2 separate regions of the Mus musculus genome follow, and region 2 is reported to be linked to region 1. Evidence: microRNA targets listed by miRTarBase, many of them from high-throughput screens and not tested one by one. Region 1 holds a microRNA gene; the other region holds the end of a gene's coding sequence.

What was found. Region 1 holds the annotated microRNA mmu-miR-694 (CUGAAAAUGUUGCCUGAAG, at 2,238-2,256, shown strand). A microRNA usually pairs through its seed, bases 2 to 8, with sites in the 3' UTR of a target mRNA and lowers its output. Matches are read on the target gene's strand: a 7mer-m8 pairs with bases 2 to 8, a 7mer-A1 pairs with bases 2 to 7 and ends in A, and an 8mer does both.
Region 2: miRTarBase lists Wdr70 as a target of mmu-miR-694. Seed matches in the 3' UTR shown: 7mer-A1 at 480-486.

Annotation. Positions count from the first base shown.
Region 1 is chr18:66,216,224-66,221,531 of GRCm38, reverse strand. Mir694 (microRNA 694) reads left to right here and starts at 2,199; the gene lies at 2,199-2,268. All of the region lies in intron 2 of Ccbe1 (collagen and calcium binding EGF domains 1), which reads left to right.
Region 2 is chr15:7,868,280-7,873,587 of GRCm38, reverse strand. It overlaps Wdr70 (WD repeat domain 70), which reads left to right. Exons shown (of 18, transcript NM_001081402.1): 18 at 335-533. The coding sequence ends at 422. Among named protein-coding and RNA genes, the nearest start is that of Gdnf, 55 kb to the right of the region's middle.

The DNA.
Region 1 (5,308 bases):
ACAAGAGAGAGAGAGAGAGAGACAGAGAGACAGAGAGACAGAGAGACAGAGAGACAGAGAGAGATGCAGAGACCCACTTGTTTGCACATTCAGGAATCCCATTAAACAGGAAGATATATATGTATGTATATATGTGTATATATGTATAAAAGTTCTGTAGGGTAAAAAAATAAATAAGAAAAAAGCCTCCCATCTGGCATTATGAGAGTTGGAAACTCCAAAGCTGTACGTTTGAGTTCGTTTACTGTTAAGCGTCCGCTATCCATGAGAGAAGCTCGTTTCCCAAGAGCCTCCCTGAGAGAAAACCTAAATTCTCATTTACGAGTGGTTATCATTCGGAGGTATTTTCAGGGTTAGGGATGGTCATGGGTCTACTTCTCTTTTCAGCTTTAGTACCCCATCCGATGTGGATATGGAAGGACTGTGCGCCCTGTCTCAGTCTCTGAGTTGGTCCTGATGCACTTAAAAGACCGTGATTTACTGGTGTCCTCCATCCCTCCTGGTCTTCTATTCTTTCTGCCTCCTCATCCACAGGGTTCCCTGAACCCCGAGGGGAGGGATTTGATGGGGACAATCCAATTAGGAGGGAACATTCTAATCTCTCTCACTCCCTGCATACTGTCTGGCTGCGGGTCTCTCTTTGTTCCCATCTACAGCAGGAAGAAACATCTCTGTTGACAACTGAGCAAGACACTGATCTATGAATATAGCAGAATGCTGTTAGGACATTTTGTTGCTATGTTCCTATAGTGAACAGTAGTATTTTGTTTACCCCTAGGTCCCTGGGCTATCTAGTCTCCGGTTCTTGGGCACTTGAGCAGTGTCATGTATGGGTTCTATCACCTGGAATGAGCCTGGAGTCAAGTCAGATATTGTTAACATACTCCTGTAATCTTTGTGCCAGCGTTTCCCTACTGTATTTTGCAGGAAGGACATCATTGTGGGTCAAAGGGTCTGTAGTTGGGTTGGCATTCACACTTCTTTAGTAGTATGCAAAGTACCTGCTGGTACCAAGAATGGGAGGTCTTTCCATCTTCTGATACCGTAGTCAGTTTCCTACTTCAGGGTCTTAAAGTTTTTATCATCCAAGTCTTTCACTTACTTGGTTAGAATTACCCTCAAGATATTTTATATTTTTTGAGGCTATTGGGAAGGATGCTGTTCCTGATTTCTTTCTCAATCTGTTTGTCATTTGTGTATAGGAAAACAACTAACTTTGTGAGTTAATTTTGTATCTTGCTACTTTGCTAAGAGTGTTTATTAGCTATAGGAGTTTCCTGGTGGAAGTTTTAGTGTCACTGATAATGTAATATTCTATCATCTACAAATAAATATGTACTATATATTTAATTAGAATATATATTCATTTATATACTATTATATCATCTACAAATAAATATATACTATATATTTAATTATAATATATATTCATTTATATACTATTATATCATCTATAAATAATTATATACTATATATTTGGTTAGAATATATATTTATTTACTTATATACTATTAATATTAACTTCTTCTATTCTAATTTTTATCCCCCTAATCTCATCTTCAGTAGTTTTCTTGCTGTGGCTCAGACTTACAAGTACTATATTGAATATGTATGGGGAGAGTGAACGACGCTGTTTTCTTTCTGATTTTAGTAGAATTGCTTTGAGTTTCTCTCTGTTTAAGTTGGTGTTGTCTATGGGCTTGCTGCAAACTGCTTTTCTTATGTTCAGGTATATCCTGTGTCTCCCTGACCTCTCCAGGACGTTTACCATGAAGGCAAAACAACATAAAATTCACACGTAGTATAAGACATTTGACTCTAGTATTGAATTAGGTACAATTAGATCACCCCTTAGCGCTTCTGGATTTTTAAACTAGTTTTAAAAGATAAAATAGATTCTCGATTCATACTCTCGAATCTTTGTTTCAAAGAAGAGGCATAACTTACCAGTTAGTTTCCAGCATGTCTGATAATTCTACATAGTATGTGAGCTGCATGGTGAGCCTTGTATTCTGCTCGCCTGAGCTCACATCAGTTCAGAGGAGTCTGCAGGTGATGAGCACAAGTCTGACCCCAGGAATCTCCAAGTTAGGGTAATTGGTGTGAAAAGTGTTTCTGTGCATTCAGATGGAGAAACCTGAAAATTACAGCTGTTGTAAGGTAAGAGCTCCCGGCGGCAAAGCTGCCAACTGGGAGTCAAAGGCCAGCTCAGGCATCGCTTTCAACCCAAGACCAGGCTGAAAATGTTGCCTGAAGCAGTCTCTGCCTTCTGCTTTCATCACAAATACCCGACCCCCACTGCACCCCCTGCCCTGTGACCTGCTCCTGGCCAGACAAAGGCCAGCGGTAGCTCCCCAGTTGGAAATTGCATTCTCTCTCCATTTCAGTGCAATTGTGGGGCTCACATTTCCTGTCCTGGTTCTCTGAAGATGGCCTTTGGGTTAAGAAGGGAGTTTGAAGATAATGGCTTAGTCATGGGCTGGGCTTGTGGTCTCGGAAAGGTACCATGCTCAAAGCTGGTCTGCTGAGCAAAGAAACCCAGGCTAGACTGTGTGAGCATTTCCAATTTCCACTTGTCATCAAAGGAGCTAACCAATGCTCTACATTCTGCTGGAATGGGGGCGATATGCTTCATGCACCTAAGCCAACTTGGAATAGTTCTACCCCTCCCCCACCCCACCACCCCACCACCCCACCCCCAGTTCATGTGAGCCGTGATCCTGTCATGATTTGTACTGGCTTTAGTCAACCTTGTCATGTTGGAGTGGTGCAACAGTCCCCTACTTAAGCAGCTTAGTCTAATCTTTGGGAGGATTTTTTTTTTAAAGAATGATTTATTTATTTTTATTTTATGTATATTAGTATTTTGTGTGGTATGTGTGAGAATGTCAGATCCCCTGGAATCAGAGTTGTGATCTGCCATGTGGAAGCTGGGCATTGAATACTTGCCCTCTGGAAGAGCAGCCAGTGCTCTTAACCACTGAGCAATCTCTTCAGCCCCGGAAAGTTTCTGTTTTGTTTTTGCTTTTTTTTTTTTTTTTTTTTAATTGACAGCTGATACTTGGGCCCCAGCCCTAAAGAGTCAGATGAAATTGGTCTGGAGTAAAACATGAGAAACTCAATTTGTACTATCAAGGTTGGGGACCAGGGACTTCACAGCACCCTGTGAGACACACGTGATTATCAGTAGAATCCTTCCCACTTCACAGCTGAGAAAGCCAAAGCCTGGGGTGATCAGCAGACTTGCTCAGCATGGACATGATCAGTTAGTGGCATAGCTTGCCTGTGCAGATTCATTCTGGTGAGTGTTTATCACAGAGTGGGCATTATGGGAAATTCTTTGAATATTATATTAGGGGTCAATTTCTGGGGACTGTAACACATGCTTAGTCCTGGAAACGATCCCCCTCCTTAGAGAATCTCTTCTCTGTACCCAGATTTCTGGGGCTGTACGGAGTAAGTGGGCTTTGGAGCCAGGACTGAAGGGGTGGCCTTGGCCTTGAGCCCTGGACTTTTACCAGAGACGTGTCTAGCTGGGATGGCACTGCCTCCCTCCAGCCTGGAGACCTGCTTCCTTCCTGGGGAGGCGCATTCTCTGAGAAGAAAGGAAAGAGGCAGATTCTGAGTGTCCTGCTCTTCCTAGCTGCTCTTGAAGTTGATCCAACTTTCTGCATAGTTTAGATATCACGACTTAACATGACCTGTCTTACCTCAGTTTGTATCAGCCCTTTTTGGGGAGGGTCTCGTAAATCACGTGCCCTCTATTTTGCAAATCCTCCTCTGGCTCCCCCTTTTCATTTTCTCTTTGTGTTTTGACAACTTTTCTCTTAAAACAAATGTCTCCCCAAGTTGTCATCTCTTGGTCTCTTTCTCGGTTTTTTTTTTTTTCACCCAGGACTAAATGTTCTCACTTGTAACATCGCAGCAGCCTGGCTTGTTGGATCAAGCTGTCCACCCTCGGCACCTCTCTAGGGAGCCTTTACTCTCTCCCACTGGTCTTTAGCACATTGATTTAGGGGAGTGGTGGGAGGTGGGGAGAACTCTGGAACAAGCACCAGATGGGTGGAGGCCTGCGCGTGCTTCATAGGATCTGTGACTTGTTGGCAAAGCTGCCTTGCTTTGGCTTCTAGGGTGCTCGTAGATATTTCTCTGGCTACCTGCATGGTGATGGAGTGTGTACAAGATTTCTTTTGCAACTTACGTTGAGTGGAAGTCTCCTTGCTAAGTATCCCCTTTTATCCCTATACGTTTGCTTGCTATTTATCTTACAGTTACCTTTCCTCTTCTGCAAATATCAAACCCCCTACTTTGTACAGAGTTTCTGCTGTGAAGGAACACAAAACAGCTCCTTCAAGGATCTAGAGTTCTGACATTGATGGGGGTCTTTGGGAGGCAGGCATTTTATTTAACACCTGATTTCTACCATGAAAACTTGATATATTTAATGGAATTAAAGGAGACATTGAAAAAGTATCTTCTAAGTGTTGTACAGAGAAAGAAGAAAATAGTTTCTGGCCCGCTGCTCACTACTAATCTAGGAGACGTGAACTTGCAGTAGGGTGTAATGGCGGTGCATATGGGAAATGAAGAGGTTATCTTTTGTTCTGAGAGCTGCTCAGGAGAGGTTGGACACAGCAGAAGGCACTGGAAATGATCTTGGTATGATGAGTGGAATGTGAATGGACAGAGAAAGGAACTGAAGGTGGTATCCCAAGCAGGAATAAGCTCTGTGCTAGGAAACAAAACAGACTGTTGGATTCTGGCTTGGAATGAACTAGAAGTAAAGTCTTGAGAAGGGGGTCACTGAAACATGCTTTGCAGGCCATCGGGAGCTGTCATTTAAGTCATAGTGACTGATGCCATCTGAGATGTGGGTTTGCTTGTAAAAATAGTGGGCACACTGGAGGGACTGGCCAGGATGCCCAGCCACAGAGTCCAATCAAGCCATAAGCTTGGACTCCCAAGGATACAGTAGGAGGACGAGGGAAAGGTGTGAGAACTGGACAGAGGTATGGCATGCACATAACTGAATATATGAAGAGACAAAGGAAGGAGTGGACATCTCCGGGACATCTGCCTTAAACATCTAGATGCACCTTTCACTGAAAACTAGAATGTACTATGTAGAATGTTAAGAAGGTGCCAGGGAGTTCAGTAAGCTGAGACTTGGACATGTTCTTCTTCATGTCCTAATGCTAATTTTTATTTTATGTGTGAAGGTGTTTTGCATGCATGTGGGCATGTATGCATGTCTGTGTCTCGTGTGTGTGTGTGTGTGTGTGTGTGTGTGTGTGTGAGTGTGTGTGTG
Region 2 (5,308 bases), not on the chromosome of region 1:
AAGTGCCATGTAGGGTCTTGTGTGGTGACCATATGGCGTATCCTTCCAAATGGTCACACTTGGGCTCAGTGTGGCAGAGATGCACGAGGGTCCACTGGGGAAAGACAAACATAAAGTGTCTGCCACTGAGGGAAAACCTTCAAAAAATATTTGGCTCTTTTCCTGAACATAATTAAATTTTCACTATGCTTTTCTTTTGCCAGAAGTTTAATGATTTATATTTAATAATTGAAATGCAATCAGTGCCCCAGACTTGCTCCTGCTTGATCAAAGAGACAATATCTAATACAAGAACCAACTCACGTTTTCCTCTTCTTTTTAACTTTTGTTTTAGAACTCAGCCAAAAACCATGTTTGCCCAAGTGGAGTCTGATGATGAAGAGTCAAAGAATGAACCAGAATGGAAAAAACGTAAAATTTGAAGAATCTCGTTGAAGAGCTATTTGCATGGAGCAACAGGATAGGATACAGTGTTTTTTTTTTCAACCCCCTCCCCAATGCTTATGAAATAAAAATACATTTTTACAAACAGATTTTGTCCTTTCTGTTATGGAGTTGCTCAAAGATTTATAAGTCTTGATGCTGCTTTTTCTTACATTTCTTAGCTACGATCATTAGATTGTGCTCCATGTAAAAAAGAACAGACTCGGCCTATTACTAAGTATTTTAGGTATTTTGAGTCTTTGATAACAATTACTGATCTTGTACAGATTCCCATTGATGGGAACGTGTACAAATGTGCTGTATGTCTATCTTGAACTAATCTAGGAACATAATATGGAAATAGGGAATCAAAAGGCTTAATATTTCCATCCAGTGTCACAGAGCTGTTTACATGACTGTTAATAATTAGATGAGATCAAACCGGCCCATGGCTGTGCTAGGAAAGAGCATGCATCTGATTATGCCTCACTGTAGCCTGCGATGCTTAGAGCAGAAGAGTGTGCTTTGAAGTCAGACCACTGCGGGGGGATGGGGAGGGGGGGAGGGGGATGGGGGGAGCTTTGCCTTGGGGGTCTCTCTTCTGGCCTCATGATGGTAATACTTACCCCGTGGGTTTGTCAGGAGGGTTAAAGGAAATGCTGGTATAGAGGCTTGGCACAGCACCTATAGTATAGTAAATCTATACTAAATATTTGCTATTTTCAGATATGATTAGCAATATCACTTTGTCTTATATTTTTGTCAGTAGTCAATTAGAAAGGCATGGGAGTGCTTTGAAAGTACAAGGGCTGTAGAAATTAAAAAAAAATCAAGAATCATTCTAAAAGTTGTATTTGTGAGTAAAAAATGAAAACAAATGTTGGTAGTTTGTCCAAAGTAATAATGAGTCAATAGAATAAACTTTTGTGGGCTACTTTCCCATACACATGGGTCATTTTTGCATGTTAAGTAAGCCCCACTAGGCAATTGAGTTTTAATTCTTGTCTTTTACCTTCCTGTTTTTATATTGCTCTAGTGAATTAAATAATTATAAAATTCATTATAAGCCAAAAGCATGCCCCAAAATCCTGGTTTCTCTGCACTTCATCCCACTCCTCTTAAAAAAAAAAAATCTATTTTAGCAAATTTGTACCTGGCTCTTTTATTACTAAAGTTTCCAAGGATGGTGGTGGCCATAGACCAGAGTAGATGTTTTATCAAAAGATAAAACTTTAGAGACTTCATTCTTGTCCTTTTACCTTCACTTACGACCCATCTTCTTCTCCTTGGGACTTAAGCCTATAACGACATGACAAAGGTGATAAGAGAAAGAACTAGTGTTGGCTAAATATGGGATACAAGGTAAGTACTACCATGCCTTCCTGCATTAAACAGCTGGATTCCCACAAAAACCTCATGATGGTACAACTACTATATCAGCTTTGATGAGTTACAAGGGATTCCAGTCAGTCTATACAAGGTCATAGCCATGGAGGGCTTTGTGAAGACTTGGGGTCTCTCTCTAGAGTAATTAACAAATGCCTCCAATTTCCTGTTCCCATTGAGATGCACTGTATCTGAATTCAATATCAGACCAATACTTTGTTCCACATGCTTAGAATTTATAAACTTACTGCATCAAGGATGAAATTTATCAAAGGTTACCACATAATGTCATCACCACCACCACCCCATGGCCAACGTAAACATCACACCGTATTCAGCATGTACATCCAGAGATTGCTGAGGTGGTCCTGAGTGCGAATAAACACTTGATCATAGTGGTCATGGCAACATCTACTCTGACTGCAGGACAGAGAAAGACAAACGTGAGCAGGAATTTCTGACTACTATTCACATGTGGGTGGGCCTTTCCGTGTTTGAGATTCTGTGTCCCTTTGGAGCTGAGTAGAGAATTATTTCTTCCATTAGAAGGGTGGCACACATATAAGGATTTCAGCTTTGAATTTCTTGAGAAAGGACCTTAGAACCAGGACTGAACAAAGAGAGAGTGTTCATTTGACCTGAGGTTCTGTCAGGACATCACTGACCAACTATACAAGCCTCAGAACTCATTGCCTGCTACCATAAAACCTTATGCCCCCTACTGTGATTAACTGTTTGCTCGAAGGAGGAACTTGGAAGCCCTTGTCATTATGCTAACTCCCATTTCCTAACTCATTAACTATGCACCATTTCTGCACATGCTCTGTAAGTCTCTTACATTTGCCCTTCTCTTAACTACAATTTAGACCCTCTTTCAGCCATCAGCATTGCTCCAGAGTCTCCTTCCCAACTAATTTCTGTTTTCAATCTGGCCCTTCTCAAGTCTATCCATGATTAACTTCAGAGTTAAACCAAAAATCTGGCTAAATTAAATCGATTCAAACCCTAAATCTGTCATCTTATTCCTTTGCCAGAAACCTTTCGGAGTCAGCAGTTCTCATCCATTTGTGTGGCATAGACAACTGAGATTCTTGTGCCTTCCTTGTATAGACTTCTACCAATCTCACATATTCCTGAGGTCCAGCCTCATTCTGTACAGAAGGTATGCTAACCTCCAACTCCCGAATCCTTGCCCTTGTTACCCTCTCCCTTCCCTGTCTGCTTGGAGAATTTCTTACTGATTTTAGAGGTGGGAGTCCATATCATTTTCCCTGAGCATGGTTCACTCGAGCAGTCTCTTCCTCTGCTCTCATGATTGCGCACGTACCTTCCTACTGTCACCTCCGTTTATACACACGTGCATGGGTTTGTGAAGTTTTGTGTGTGTGTGTGTGTGTGTGTGTGTGTGTGTGTGTGTGTGTGTGTATAACTCCAGGAGATCTAATGCTTCCTTCTGCCCCCCATGAATACCAGGAACACAAATGGCATATAGACATCCATGCATACGAAACTCTCATACATATCAAATAAAATGGGAAAAATGGAGGAAAATAGGCCATACTGATAGATTTAACTACTCATTTTCTACTCACAAATACATGACTACAATTTGTTGATATTTGTACTGGCTCTGTACCAATTTGACCAGTTAAACATGACCCAGGTGAGGCCCTGGCCTTAAGAAGTTTGCACATTCTTTCTCTTGGGACCTCTTTTCTAACAATGAGGTAGCCATGATGTGAGAAAAGGTAAGGACTCTAAACGGGGCAGGAAGTAAAGGCTTGCTGACAACCAAGCTCCCCATCTGACAGAACGCCTTTTCTCTTTAGGAAGGATCGTGTTATATATCCAAGTCTGGCCAAACCCTCATGATCCTGGTGCCTCGGCCTCCCCTGGCACTGGGATTATAGATGTGAGCTACCACATTTGGGCTTCTATTCTATTTTATAAAACAGATCATTTGGTCCCGGTTGAGTCATACCAGCTGTGATCACATGGAGCAGAGAGGATCAGCCCATATAGACTCCTCCTGACCAAGATGTAAATTAATGCGCAAGATAACTGATTGGCCTTGCTTGGAGCTGCTGAGTTGTGAAGCTGTGATACAGAAATACACAACTAGAATAGCTTTACTCAACCGGTAGACCACAAGGAGCACTAATATTCTGATGATGCAACTGAATGGTTTTCTTGAATGGAGTTTAGAGAGTTAAGGTTTTCTGCTTCTTAAAGCTTAATTACAATAACGTACTTATTATTGGAATAAAATACTTATCTTCTACTTGTTAAACATGTAGAATTTGCAGTACTACAAACTTTATATAGTTTATATATATATGTGTGTGTGTGTGTGTATATATATATATATATATATATATATATATATATATATATATGTATGTATACAGTATGTAAATAGTATATATAGCTTTTTGTCCATTATGTATATATGTATCATCTTTACTCTCCTGTTCTATAAATATAGATTATTTTTAAACTGGCTATTAAAGATAATGCTGACTACAATGGCTCCATGTCTTAAGCATTTTATTCATGCTAGAATTGTTTTGTTAGAAGCTGATACCAAAAAAATGGAGTTATGGAAGCTCAGGAAGATTGTCTCATCTTTGTGAAACACAATCATTGCAATCTTAGTGCTTTGCCAATGGATGCCCAACTATCAAGGAAGATGGTTCTGGGCAGGTCAGCTAGCATAGTGCATTGGATAGTATCCTTCTGGAGTCCATATCCACCCAGAACCTTAGAATATGACTTTATTTGGAAGACTCTTTGCGGATATTAAATTAAGATGAGATCATACTAGATTAAGGAAGGCCTGCAATCCAATGGCTAGTGTCCATATAAAAACAGCCAGAGCCACATACACAGAGAAAAAGACTGGAAAAAACAAAGGAAATTATAGTGATGTAGCTACTAGTCAAGGATTGGCAACCACAAGTTAGTTAGGAAGAGGCATAGAAGCAAGGAAGGATTCCTCCCTGGAGTTGTAAGAACCAGCACTCCCCTCCCCACACCTAGATTTCTGATTTCTGGCCTCCGGGGCTATGAGAGAATAAACTTTGAGGGAATTTCTGTTGTTTTAAGCCGTTCCATCTGTGGTAATATTTTCAGCAAGTCCTAGAAAACAAGTACACTTAGCAACGAGCCATGAGGAAAAGCTTGGATCCAGATGAGGCCACACAAGGTTTGTGTCTCACCACTTTACGAAAGACGCAGAAGAGAGTGAATGAATAAAAAATAAAAACAAAAACACATACAAGAGACACTTAGCATCCAACATCAAGATTCAGAAATTTTCTCTCCAATCTCCTTTAGTGTGGGCTTGGATAATGATTTTCTTAATGCACTAAATCTTGATGAAATTTTGCTATATAGCAACAAACAATACATTTTCAAGTTTGCATGATTGTTCTTACATTTTGAATACATAGCCCCAGCCTGGTACTTCTTGCTCAGTCTTCTGAGGTGATGCACTACG